Linked DNA regions of Arabidopsis thaliana. The protein of the gene in region 1 interacts with the protein of each later gene in a pairwise test. Each region holds a gene or a part of one and is shown on either strand. Other genes may lie near its edges. The genes, in order: HTA13, AT2G18670 and OFP8.

Region 1 (3,309 bases):
GGCACCAATCATACCTATCAAAGTCTATCTTTTCTTCTTCGCCAATCATTTTTTTTACGTGTGTAAACTTGGACCGCCTAATGGGTTAAAATTTTAAAGCATTATCATCCAAAATTTATAATATACTATAGAAATGAAAGGTATATCGGAAAAAAAGTGAGGTATATCTTTACTCTATAGTGTTATTTTCTAAAATTCGGATAATCATAAAAGATTCATGTGATCAAGGCACGTGGTACGAATATCCAGATTCAAGCCAACGTGCCCATTGATCTGCTCTTACTAATTTATTGGTGCGATCGATATACACTAGCTAAGTTATGCACACAACTAACAACTAATTTATTGTTTGTTGATATATTCATTAATTATCGGATAATCACGTAAAGAGCTAAATCCACTAAATTACAAGTTCATAATTTTAGAATGATTTTTTTTTTTGTCTTATCGAATTAGATAAGACACTCAGAAACTATACTAAACTCCTAATTATGTATTTATTTATTTTTCTTAAGAAGATAATCCAAGATTAGAGTTTAATCTTCTTTTTTTGACTGTAATTAGAAAAACTATTCGACGTGAAAAAAATCATTTTCACGCTACAGCTGTAATTTACTGTTTTTGTAATTTTCCTAAATCACAAAAAAAATATAGAAGGGAAAAAAAAAACTTACCGATCATGCAGCCGGCGAAGAAGAGAGCCTGAACAAGACCAACTTTATACTTGTCGCCGCAAATCAATCCCCACTCCGACACCGTGGAGCTCCCTTTACCCGCCGTCCATTCCCAAGAACTCGGATCCAACTCGCAGTTCAATGACCCGACCCGACAATCCGACCCGACGCATCTCCACTCGGGTTCTTGATCGGCAAATATCATCACCATCGTGTGGAACGCCTCTAAAGCCCAAGCAATACACGTCAACACGAAGTGTTTCAACTGCCACCTCCCAAACTCGCCGCAATATCTTTGTAACATCTCATCTATGCATAATCTCTCCTCTCCCTCCGCTTCTTTCTTCACCGGAATTTTCTCTAGCAGCGGTTGTCGGACATCGTTACCGTTTCTATCCTCCGGAGATTCCATAATTTATGTTTTGATTTTTACAGTGTTTTTGTTTTTGTGTTTGTGTTTTTGTTTAAAAGGCGTTCTTGATTTGGTTTGACGCGAAGAAGGAGGTGGCTTCTTTGTCGTATTTATATCTCTTGTTTATCGGAAAACAATTTTTCCTTCTTTTTTTCTCTAGCGTTTTTTATTCTCTTTTGATTTAGTAACTATTTTTTTTTGTTGACGATATTGACTACATGCTCTGCTTATATATATTTTAACTATGTCATGTTATTAACGTTTATGAGTTGTCACTTTGAAAATTAGTAAGACACATCATGTATTATTTCTCAAATTAGTATTGTACATTTCATTTCAAAGTCAAAAACACATGATTCTATATATGGTTGATTACCTAATGTGTAATCGTGAATTAGTAATTAATACGACATGCTAAAAATTGATTAATCATGTTTAGAAAAATATATACTATGATAAACCTGAAATTGTGTCACACAATTTTGATGAATGTATATACCACATTTCCATATTATACGTTTTAAAAGTAAGATTTTCATAAATTTTAAAATTATTCATAACATTCACTAAAATTAGATGTGTATAATTAACAAACTAAAAATATCATTAATCTACTATTTTAGTAGTTATTTTGCGAAAATATGTTTGAGTTACAAAATATTTTCACTATTTAAATCATGTCGATTATACCCACTGAAGGGTATTTCCGTCAATCCCAATTCTAACAATGAATTCAGGAGTATAAAAACGTAAATTCAAGCGTGCCAATTATAAACCGTCGATCATAATCTAATCCAACGGCAGTAACATCGATCCGCGTGATTGTTTATTATTGGATAAGAATCACTCAACCGTCTCTACACAGTATATATAATAACCAAAGAGCGTCCTCTTACGCTTATCTTAATTTCCCTCGCATTGAGAATTTTCAACTTTTTCTATCTCTCTTCCCAAATCACAAATGGCGGGTCGCGGCAAAACTCTCGGATCTGGCGTTGCTAAGAAATCAACATCGAGAAGCAGCAAAGCCGGTCTCCAATTCCCCGTTGGTCGTATCGCTCGTTTTCTAAAGAACGGCAAGTACGCAACACGTGTTGGTGCCGGAGCTCCGGTTTACTTAGCCGCCGTTCTCGAATACCTCGCCGCTGAGGTAATTATCCCCTTCTCTCCCTATATCTCTTTACTCTTTCGATCTTCAATTTCGTAAAACCCTAATTTCTAAATTGGATCTGTTGTGTTGTAGGTATTGGAATTGGCTGGAAACGCAGCTAGGGATAACAAGAAGACTAGGATTGTGCCACGTCACATTCAGCTCGCGGTGAGAAACGATGAGGAGCTGAGTAAACTGCTTGGAGATGTGACGATTGCTAATGGAGGTGTGATGCCTAACATTCACAGTCTTCTTCTTCCCAAGAAAGCTGGTGCTTCAAAACCTTCCGCTGATGAAGATTAGATTAGGGATTTGTGTTGTGGTTGTTTAGCTAATTAATGTGTAGCTTAGTCTTTCATTAGATTAGATCTGAATTAGTTTTCATTAATGGTGTTGTGTAGTCTCTCTTTTGCTTCAAAAACAAGTATTAAAATCTTATTATTTTGAATTGAATCCACAATCAATACACATTGAAGTCCTAACAAACTACTTCTTCCCAGTGATATTTGAAACCAAATCACTAAGAAACTTAGCTGATTTGGTAATAGGAGAATTCATAGCCATCAAGTTATACAGAACAAGCTCAACTTCTTCGATTGATGGTCGAGAATTGAATTGTGAAACAACTTTCAAAGTACCATTACCTTCTTCTTCTTCAACGAGAACATTCCATCTTTCTCCACTCACAACACCGTCTCTTACACACTTAAAGATCACTCCTTTTCTCTTACTAAACACTCCTCTCACTTCTAAGCCAGTGAACGCATAAATCACTTCAAAGGAACCAATAAAGCCATCTCCAAAGCTTTTCTCTTCTTCAAACAACCATCTCGGATTGATCATTACTACAGGTTTTGTAGAAAAAGCTTCACTCGCGGTCTTAACATCCTCCAGCTGCGATTTCTCCGGAGCCATGAAGATCGCCACGTCAGCAGATCTCAGAGCTGTTTTAAGAGAGTCTGAGACCGGAGACATGGCAATGTGGTGGATAGAGTCTGACCGGAAAGCTTTAACGGCGGGATCGATGAATGAAGGGTTAGGCCAGAGGAAGAGAAGCTTGACATTAGAGCCTC
Region 2 (3,840 bases), on another chromosome or scaffold:
CCCAAAGAAAAGATTCAAGAGGAATAGTTTTGGCTTCATCCCTTTAACAATCTTTGCAGCTTTCCCCAAAGCTTGGATCCCATAAGTATCCTCGAGTATCGATATGACCATAGATAAGTTCCAAACGATAGCTAAGTAAGACTCAAAGACTGCAAATACAATGAATAAAGCGCGAGATTTGGCTGCCAAGGAATCGAGTTTTGTAGAGAAGAAAACGATAGAAAATAGGACTATAAAGAATAGGAACCAATAGCCAAGACTGAAGAGAACAATATAGAAATTGGTCACAAGAGGTCCCTTCCAATATTTAAGCGTCAGAATCGGAAAATCTTTGATCTCGAAGCTATCATCTTTATGAGTAAGAGCCGATGCATGAACCATGACAAGAGTGGATAAAAGGTTGATGATGGAGGAGACGGCGATGAAGATGTATAAAGAATTGACAAACTGGCGAAAATCTACAAAGACTCTCATAAGATGGGCAGCAAATTCCGGGGTGTTTGGATCTGTCATAGGTAACAAACTTGATTCAAGGATCAAGTTTGTTATCTCGGGTTTGATGGCAATGGCGTTGAACAAGTAAACTAAACAATTGAGTAAGAGAGGGAATACCAAGACTGAGAACATCAACTTTTTGTTCTTGAGGAGAGTTTGCGGGATTCATTTAGAATACCCGCAACCTCCATTATAACATTCAAGAACGAAAACCGATCCATGGCTTTCAAAAAGAAAATGAAAAAAAAAGCTCTTGGCTATTGCTTTTTGGTAATGGTAGTGAGGGTTTATATGATCAAACGCCCATCTGCTTAGTGCTTATATATTACCATAAGATCGACCCGCTACTTCTCTATGGAGGAAAGAGTCCTTGGCTTGTATTGTACCTCTTCGTAGCTTCAGTTTTGGAGATTCTTATCATCCATTAGACTGAGTCCACGTCTACATAACCACACAATATTACCTATTCAATCAAAAATCAAACGAAAGAAACCAAGACTTAGACAAATTCAAGAACAAGAAACCGAAGTATAACACATCGATGAAAAGTCTAAACAATTACTTCCTGACAGCGACACAAATAGAGATGTTAAAGAGAGAAAACAAGAGCTCGGTAACATGTTCAACAATTCGTGTTGAATCGGTCAAGAAACTCTGTAGCACCGTGTTAAAACTGAAAACGACTACATATCTATCTATTTATATATTTTTCGAGAGCTTAAGGGTTCTAATCATTCTATAAACCAATAATGAAGCAATTAGTCTCCTCCAACGAACTAGTCATCAAGAACGAGTTAGAAACTATAACTATGTTGAATGAGCTTAAAACATTATTAAATGATTATAACTTCTAATCCAAATATGATTGAAACAAAACAAAAACAAGAAACATAGCACTTACAAATCTAGCAAACTACTTCTTCTATGACCAAAACATCTCCATAATTCTCCTTCTTGTGGATCTTCCTCCCACAATCTAACCCTAGCTCTGCAAATAGGACACGTCGAGGCTTTGAGCAACCAAGTGTCCACACACTTTCGATGAAACACGTGTCCACAACCAGGAAGATTCCGACACCATTGTCCTTGTCTGAATCCATCAAAACAAACCACACAATCGCTCTCGTACCGTGTGTATGTGCTAGGTTCGGAGAATTTGAATTGAGGAAGCTTTTTCACGAATCTTGAAGATAACCCATCTGAGGATTCTTGTCGGCGATTACGACGACGACGTCGGTGGTGACGATGGAGAGAAGAGAGGAGGAGAGGGAGGATAAGAACAGAGGCGATACCGATAAGAACGAGGAAGAGAAAGAAGATTGAAAACATGATTACACCAACGAGGAATAGAGAGAGAATCCTTGTTTTCGGTTTTGGCGGTGGATGAGACGGCGTAGTAGACGGTGGTTCGCCGGAGATTCGGTAATTATTGGTCGGAGGCATCGGAAAGAAAAAAAAAAAAAAGAATTCTCCTCTTTTTTTGGTTGTTTCGTATTCTGGCTTATCTTTTTTTTGTGCTAATAATTACCAGAATCTAATGTGAAAGCTAAAGAAGGTAAGATTTGATGTTTTGAGCGAACTGAAATGCTAAATCAAAGACATTTCCAAAGTAGAAAATGACGCAATCAAAAATATTTGTCAGAGCAAAATTTAAGAAAGAAAAATAGATTTCATTTAGTGACAGTAACGTTTGGTTAAAAATGGTCATGTGATGAGATACTTTTTATTTTACTTTTTGGGCTTTGGATCATGTGATAAAAGATTTTAATTTTTATATATATATATAAATTTTTTTGGCTCCATGTCTACAAGAAATATAAATAATAAGAAATATCTTCTCATCCAATAATTTTAAACATTATCTTGAAGGATAAGCAAATATCATCATCCCACTGTTTTTAAGACCATAGTATGGAAAAAGATGGAATATTCGAACTTATAATTTAGTTTTAAAAGTAATATTCGTACTTGGAGGCCTATGGAATCGCTACTAATTCTAAATACTCGTTCTGAACATAGCTTGTCGTTTGATTCGGACGTTTTGAAATTTTGTACATTCTTTTGGTTTGCTCTCTTTTTTTCTTAACAATATACGTTTTGTAAATTTAAACTTGGACGATGATATAACAACACAAATGACATATGCTTAAAAGTTAAAATCTCATTTTTTATATTTTGAATCTTTGATTGATGAATTATAGCGACAAGCCGACAAAGGCAACTTCCTCGGTAAGGGCAATCGTTATCTTAAGTTTAATTTGATCAAATCTCTTTCTCAGCGATAGAAAGTTTAATTGGTATATAGAGATTTGGGCCTTTACATAAAATGATATTTGAAGGCCCACTAAGCCCAATTATTTTCCAGAATGTTGAATTCATAAACGCAGATTTACTTGACATGATAACAAAGAGAAATTTGTCTTGATTCAAAAAAATAAAATAAAGAAGAGACATTTGTCTTTCTCTTGTAAAAGAGGTCAATAAAGCAAATTTGTTTTTCATACTTCATCATTTGACTAATTTTATTGGTGTTATGTAACAAACCGAATATTGGAGATATCTTAGGGAGCAAGTACGTGAAGTCCGAAGAATATTCTAGATTTCACTATTACCTTTTGTTCAAGTTATTTTTTTATATGTTTAGAAAAGTTGAAGAACAATCTGACTCGGATACCATGATAGATTTGGGCTTTTAATATGAGATTTCAACTAAAAATCAATTGGTAATAGGTGGAGTGACCCTAACACTTTATATACTATTTGATAATTTTTAATTTTTAATGTGGGACTTTCTTCATTAACACATTTTGTTTTAGTAGATGGTCCTAACGTTAGAACCTAACACTCATCAGAAGGTTTAAAAGACGGTTATACTTTTCCCGATGGTTTTGGATTTGGGTAAGGTTGAGAATTTTCTCAAGGTAGGATTCGAAGTGATGTTGAGAATACCCTCCTTAGTTTCTTCGAAATTTCCTTCGCAGCTTTGTGAAAATAATATCCACAAAGAAAAAAAAAATGAACTTTAAATTTCAAACCCTCGTGGAATTTTCCTTCACACATCATCATATATTCATATTCATTCAATTCACCAAGAAAATTTAGGTGGAGTAAGGAATAACAAATTGTCCTGTATGAAATCAATACAATAAGTAATGGAAGACTTGACGTAGACCAAAGACTTTTCCTTTTACTTACAGTCTTTGAGTCCAATTATATATAAATACTCGCTTCCCTTTGCTTCGTTATTTCACAAACAAGTTAAAGAAAATGATAAAAATGGCAGTAAAATTTGTGGTAGTGATGATAGTGTTTGCACAAATCTTAGCTCCAATCGCTGAAGCTGCT
Region 3 (3,504 bases), on another chromosome or scaffold:
GAAGATATTTAGTCTCTTGCTTAACCTTTCATTGCATGATCAGTATGATTCTTGTTTCCAAAGTAGGTCATCAAACTTTTTCGGGTTGTGTTGTAGGAGTTCTAGTGCTACTAAGCATATGGAGAATCAGGCAGAAGAGGGGTAGGCGGAGAAGAGCATCAGGGTCGAATCGATTAGCCTAGCATATAGCCGTGTCTGGGGTCCAGTCTTTTTTCTACTGTCATTTACACTGACCACAGAATGTAGTCTCACTTTTACTTGGAAAACTGGCAATTTTGTTTTAGGTAAATCATTTTTAAAATCATCATTCAAAGAGCTAAAATATGTAGGAAGAAATACTAATTTCTAAAAACATTAGCCTCCACTAAAAAAAACAATTTTATTTGAAATGTATCATGCATACCCAAATTAGTGTAAACTTTTTGAAATTCAAATAGGAAGAGGCAGATAATATGGTCCCCAACCTGCCACCACACCAAAACCTAACAATAACGTAAAAAAGGTAAATTAGATTAGCCAATAAGCATATACACTTCCAAACATCAGACCTATCATTCCTCCTCCTTTTTTCTTTATAAGAAATATTTCAATTGTCCTTAGGAATTTGCATTTAGGAAGTCTGCTCTAGCAGCTGAAAATTAATAAATCATGCTAAATTGACTATATAGGCTATAGTGGTCCTCCACTTGGCCAGGTTCTCTGTTTTCATTGGGGTTCGATCCCCATAGTGGGATTATATGCATGGGCTGCTCCACTGGAGCAGAGGAAGAAAATTCATTCTTTGTTTTTTTTTTTTTTTTTTTCATTTCTTCAACATGTTGAAAGAAACGATTGTGGAGAAGATTTATACATCAGTGTTCGACTTCGATGGTTACATTAATGAAAATTAGTTTTGAAAAATGTTAGTAGTCGGATGGACACAACAATACCTAATCTTTATAGACATTGCAGTTTTAAAACTTTACCTTGCGACGACTAAACATGCAATTTGATTAATGATCATATTTCAAGATTTTCAATATATATTCATTTTATTAAACAAAAGTCCATTAGGATAGATGGAATGTTTTCAGTTTCATCAAACTACCATTGATGATTTCAAAAAGTAAATCTTATTTGCAAGTTTTGGAAAATTTTGTTTATTGGTAAATGAATCTCTCCTTTTTCTTGTTACGAAAGTCAATGTTATCTATTTTATTTACTTGCAGATATAATCTGACTTTTGGTGATCATCGTGCACAACCTTTCTGTGTAATTGTCATTTTCAATCATTTAATTTTGAATTAAGTTGCCTTTTTGAAAAAACGTTCATTCTCCAAAACCGATGCACGAATTCCGGGGAGAAGTTTCAATTATGCATCGTTAAAAAAGAATTCAGAATTGTATCACCAAAACTTTGTAACGTTAACGTAAGATTGACTATAGTACTTAATTACTTCTGGTACTACAATGCAAATCCTTTAAGTTAACAATGATAAAATCTTCCAAGTAGAAGAAGTTTTAACAAACTCTACTTTTTAAGTTGCCTGATAATGAGGAATTCGAAAAGCTAAAGAAACTGACTGTTATATAAATAAAAAAAATCAAAGAGAAACTGACTTTTACTAGTCTACAAGATGACAAACATTACAAAACAGTTTCATGTCAAATTTTCAAAATTAAAATATTTTAAAATTAGTGAAAAACGAGCAAAGCAAGGTCAAGCGTCTCTACCTAAAATAAAAACAGAAAGAAAAAAGCAACAAGGAAATTCCAATGGTTAATTTTTGTGTCAGCAATTCGAATAGTTTAAGATAAAGACGACAGTGAAATGACAAAAGACATTGCAGAAAGAGTTAAACGTAAAAAGTTGTAATCATTAAATTATCATAAATATTACGAAAAATGAATGCTAGTACAAGAAAAAACACAACAGAGAATTTATCTCTCCTTCCCTCAAAAGTCTTATATCACACGACTTTAATACACCATCTTCATTAGTCTCTCTCGATATTCTCTAAACATGGAGAAGAGAATGAAGCTCCGGGTTTCAAGAATAGTCCGGTCATCTTTAAGCTCTTGCCGACCACGAGATCTATACGACGTCGTCGAGACTTGTGCTGTTACAAGTAAAGCAACGTCTTCCGAGAGGTTCTTCGTTACCAAAGCCAAAACCAAAACTCCATCACGACCAAAGAGTCATGCTTCTTCTTGCCCTCGTGCGTCACCTATATTCCCACCAAACCCTTTCTACGAAGAGAGCCGTTCATTTCGAGATTTAAGGAAGAAGGTCAAGACAAACAGGAAGCAAAGATCGCAGTTTGGTTCTGACCCTCTCTTTGCCTCACGTTTTAAGTCAACCGGGTCTTGGTACTGGTCTTGTAGTGAGGAAGAAGACGAAGGAGACAAAGAAGAAAGTGAAGATGATGATTCTGATACTCTCTTTTCTTCTAGAAGCTTCTCCTCGGACTCTTCAAAGGCGGAGAGTTTTGCGGTGGTGAAGAAGTCAAAGGATCCATATGAAGATTTCAGGACGTCAATGGTGGAGATGATTGTTGAGAGACAGATATTTGCACCGGCTGAGTTACAACAGCTTCTTCAGTGTTTTTTGTCGTTAAACTCTCGTCAACACCACAAAGTTATTGTCCAAGTGTTCTTAGAAATTTATGCCACCTTGTTCTCTCCCTAATTTCTATATCTACTTTTTAACATCTTTTGCTAAAATGTACTATTTTGAGTCTTGAATCTTGCTTTAGTGGTTGGTTCTTTTTTTCGACTAGATTCTTTTGTTTTCAGATTATCTTTGTCTTAGCCTTTCTCTGTATTTTGATTTTCATGAACCAAATTGAGTTACTTTACAAGAAAACGGTAGGCCTTAAAAACAGACAGCGACATACCATTTAAAGCATTGAACACTTTATCAAGACCTAAAGAATTTTCTGCATATATTGTTGTGTACAGTTTATTAAAAAAAACAATATATAAACTAGACATAGATAAGAAAATTCAAACTTTTTAAATAGATTGAATACACATCATTTTTTTCTCATAGATATATATCATGAGTATCAAAATTAAATTTATTACAAAGAAATATATATTTATATAAGAAATCAATACTGTATCTTATAAATCACAAGTCCCTTTACCAATAGTATTGTGAAATGTGTCCATTCACAAAACAAAATTAATAAGAAAAACAAGTTTCTCTAAAATGTGACGAAACAACGGTTATTTTTTTAAAATAAATCCAAGTTTTTCCACGAGCCATATTTATAGGAGCATGAATTTTAAAAACAAAATAGAAAAATACAGTTATTTGTCTTTTTAAAAAAACTTCTATTGCGACATAACTTCTGTGCAAGATAGTACAGTATTTAATTTTTAGTTGAAAGCTTGACAAAAAAATGTCACATTAGCTTTAATCATATTGGCTAACATTGCCATTCATAGACACAAGATTTTCATTGTTATTAATCTTATAAAACTATTGAAGATAACAAAACATGTTATTCAAACGACTAG

The links.
Region 2: the proteins of HTA13 (region 1) and AT2G18670 interact in a two-hybrid assay, tested with the Arabidopsis thaliana proteins (one large-scale study listed by BioGRID).
Region 3: the proteins of HTA13 (region 1) and OFP8 interact in a two-hybrid assay, tested with the Arabidopsis thaliana proteins (one large-scale study listed by BioGRID).

What each region holds. Positions count from the first base shown.
Region 1 is NC_003074.8:7,227,425-7,230,733, forward strand, and holds HTA13 (histone H2A 13), read left to right. Parts: upstream 1-1,965; 5' UTR 1,966-2,047; coding exon 2,048-2,236; intron 2,237-2,329; coding exon 2,330-2,539; 3' UTR 2,540-2,722; downstream 2,723-3,309. Other genes in the region: OCT4 (organic cation/carnitine transporter4), read right to left, coding at 675-1,086; AT3G20680 (plant/protein (DUF1995)), read right to left, coding at 2,723-3,309.
Region 2 is NC_003071.7:8,091,567-8,095,406, reverse strand, and holds AT2G18670 (RING/U-box superfamily protein), read right to left. Parts: upstream 2,188-3,840; 5' UTR 1,939-2,187; coding exon 1,397-1,938; intron 959-1,396; coding exon 955-958; 3' UTR 628-954; downstream 1-627. Other genes in the region: AT2G18685 (uncharacterized protein), read left to right, coding at 380-583; AT2G18680 (uncharacterized protein), read right to left, coding at 1-627; PNP-A (plant natriuretic peptide A), read left to right, coding at 3,763-3,840.
Region 3 is NC_003076.8:6,638,796-6,642,299, reverse strand, and holds OFP8 (ovate family protein 8), read left to right. Parts: upstream 1-1,891; 5' UTR 1,892-2,002; coding exon 2,003-2,668; 3' UTR 2,669-2,845; downstream 2,846-3,504. Other genes in the region: S1P (SITE-1 protease), read left to right, coding at 97-182. UniProt on the Arabidopsis thaliana protein: Transcriptional repressor that regulates multiple aspects of plant growth and development through the regulation of BEL1-LIKE (BLH) and KNOX TALE (KNAT) homeodomain transcription factors.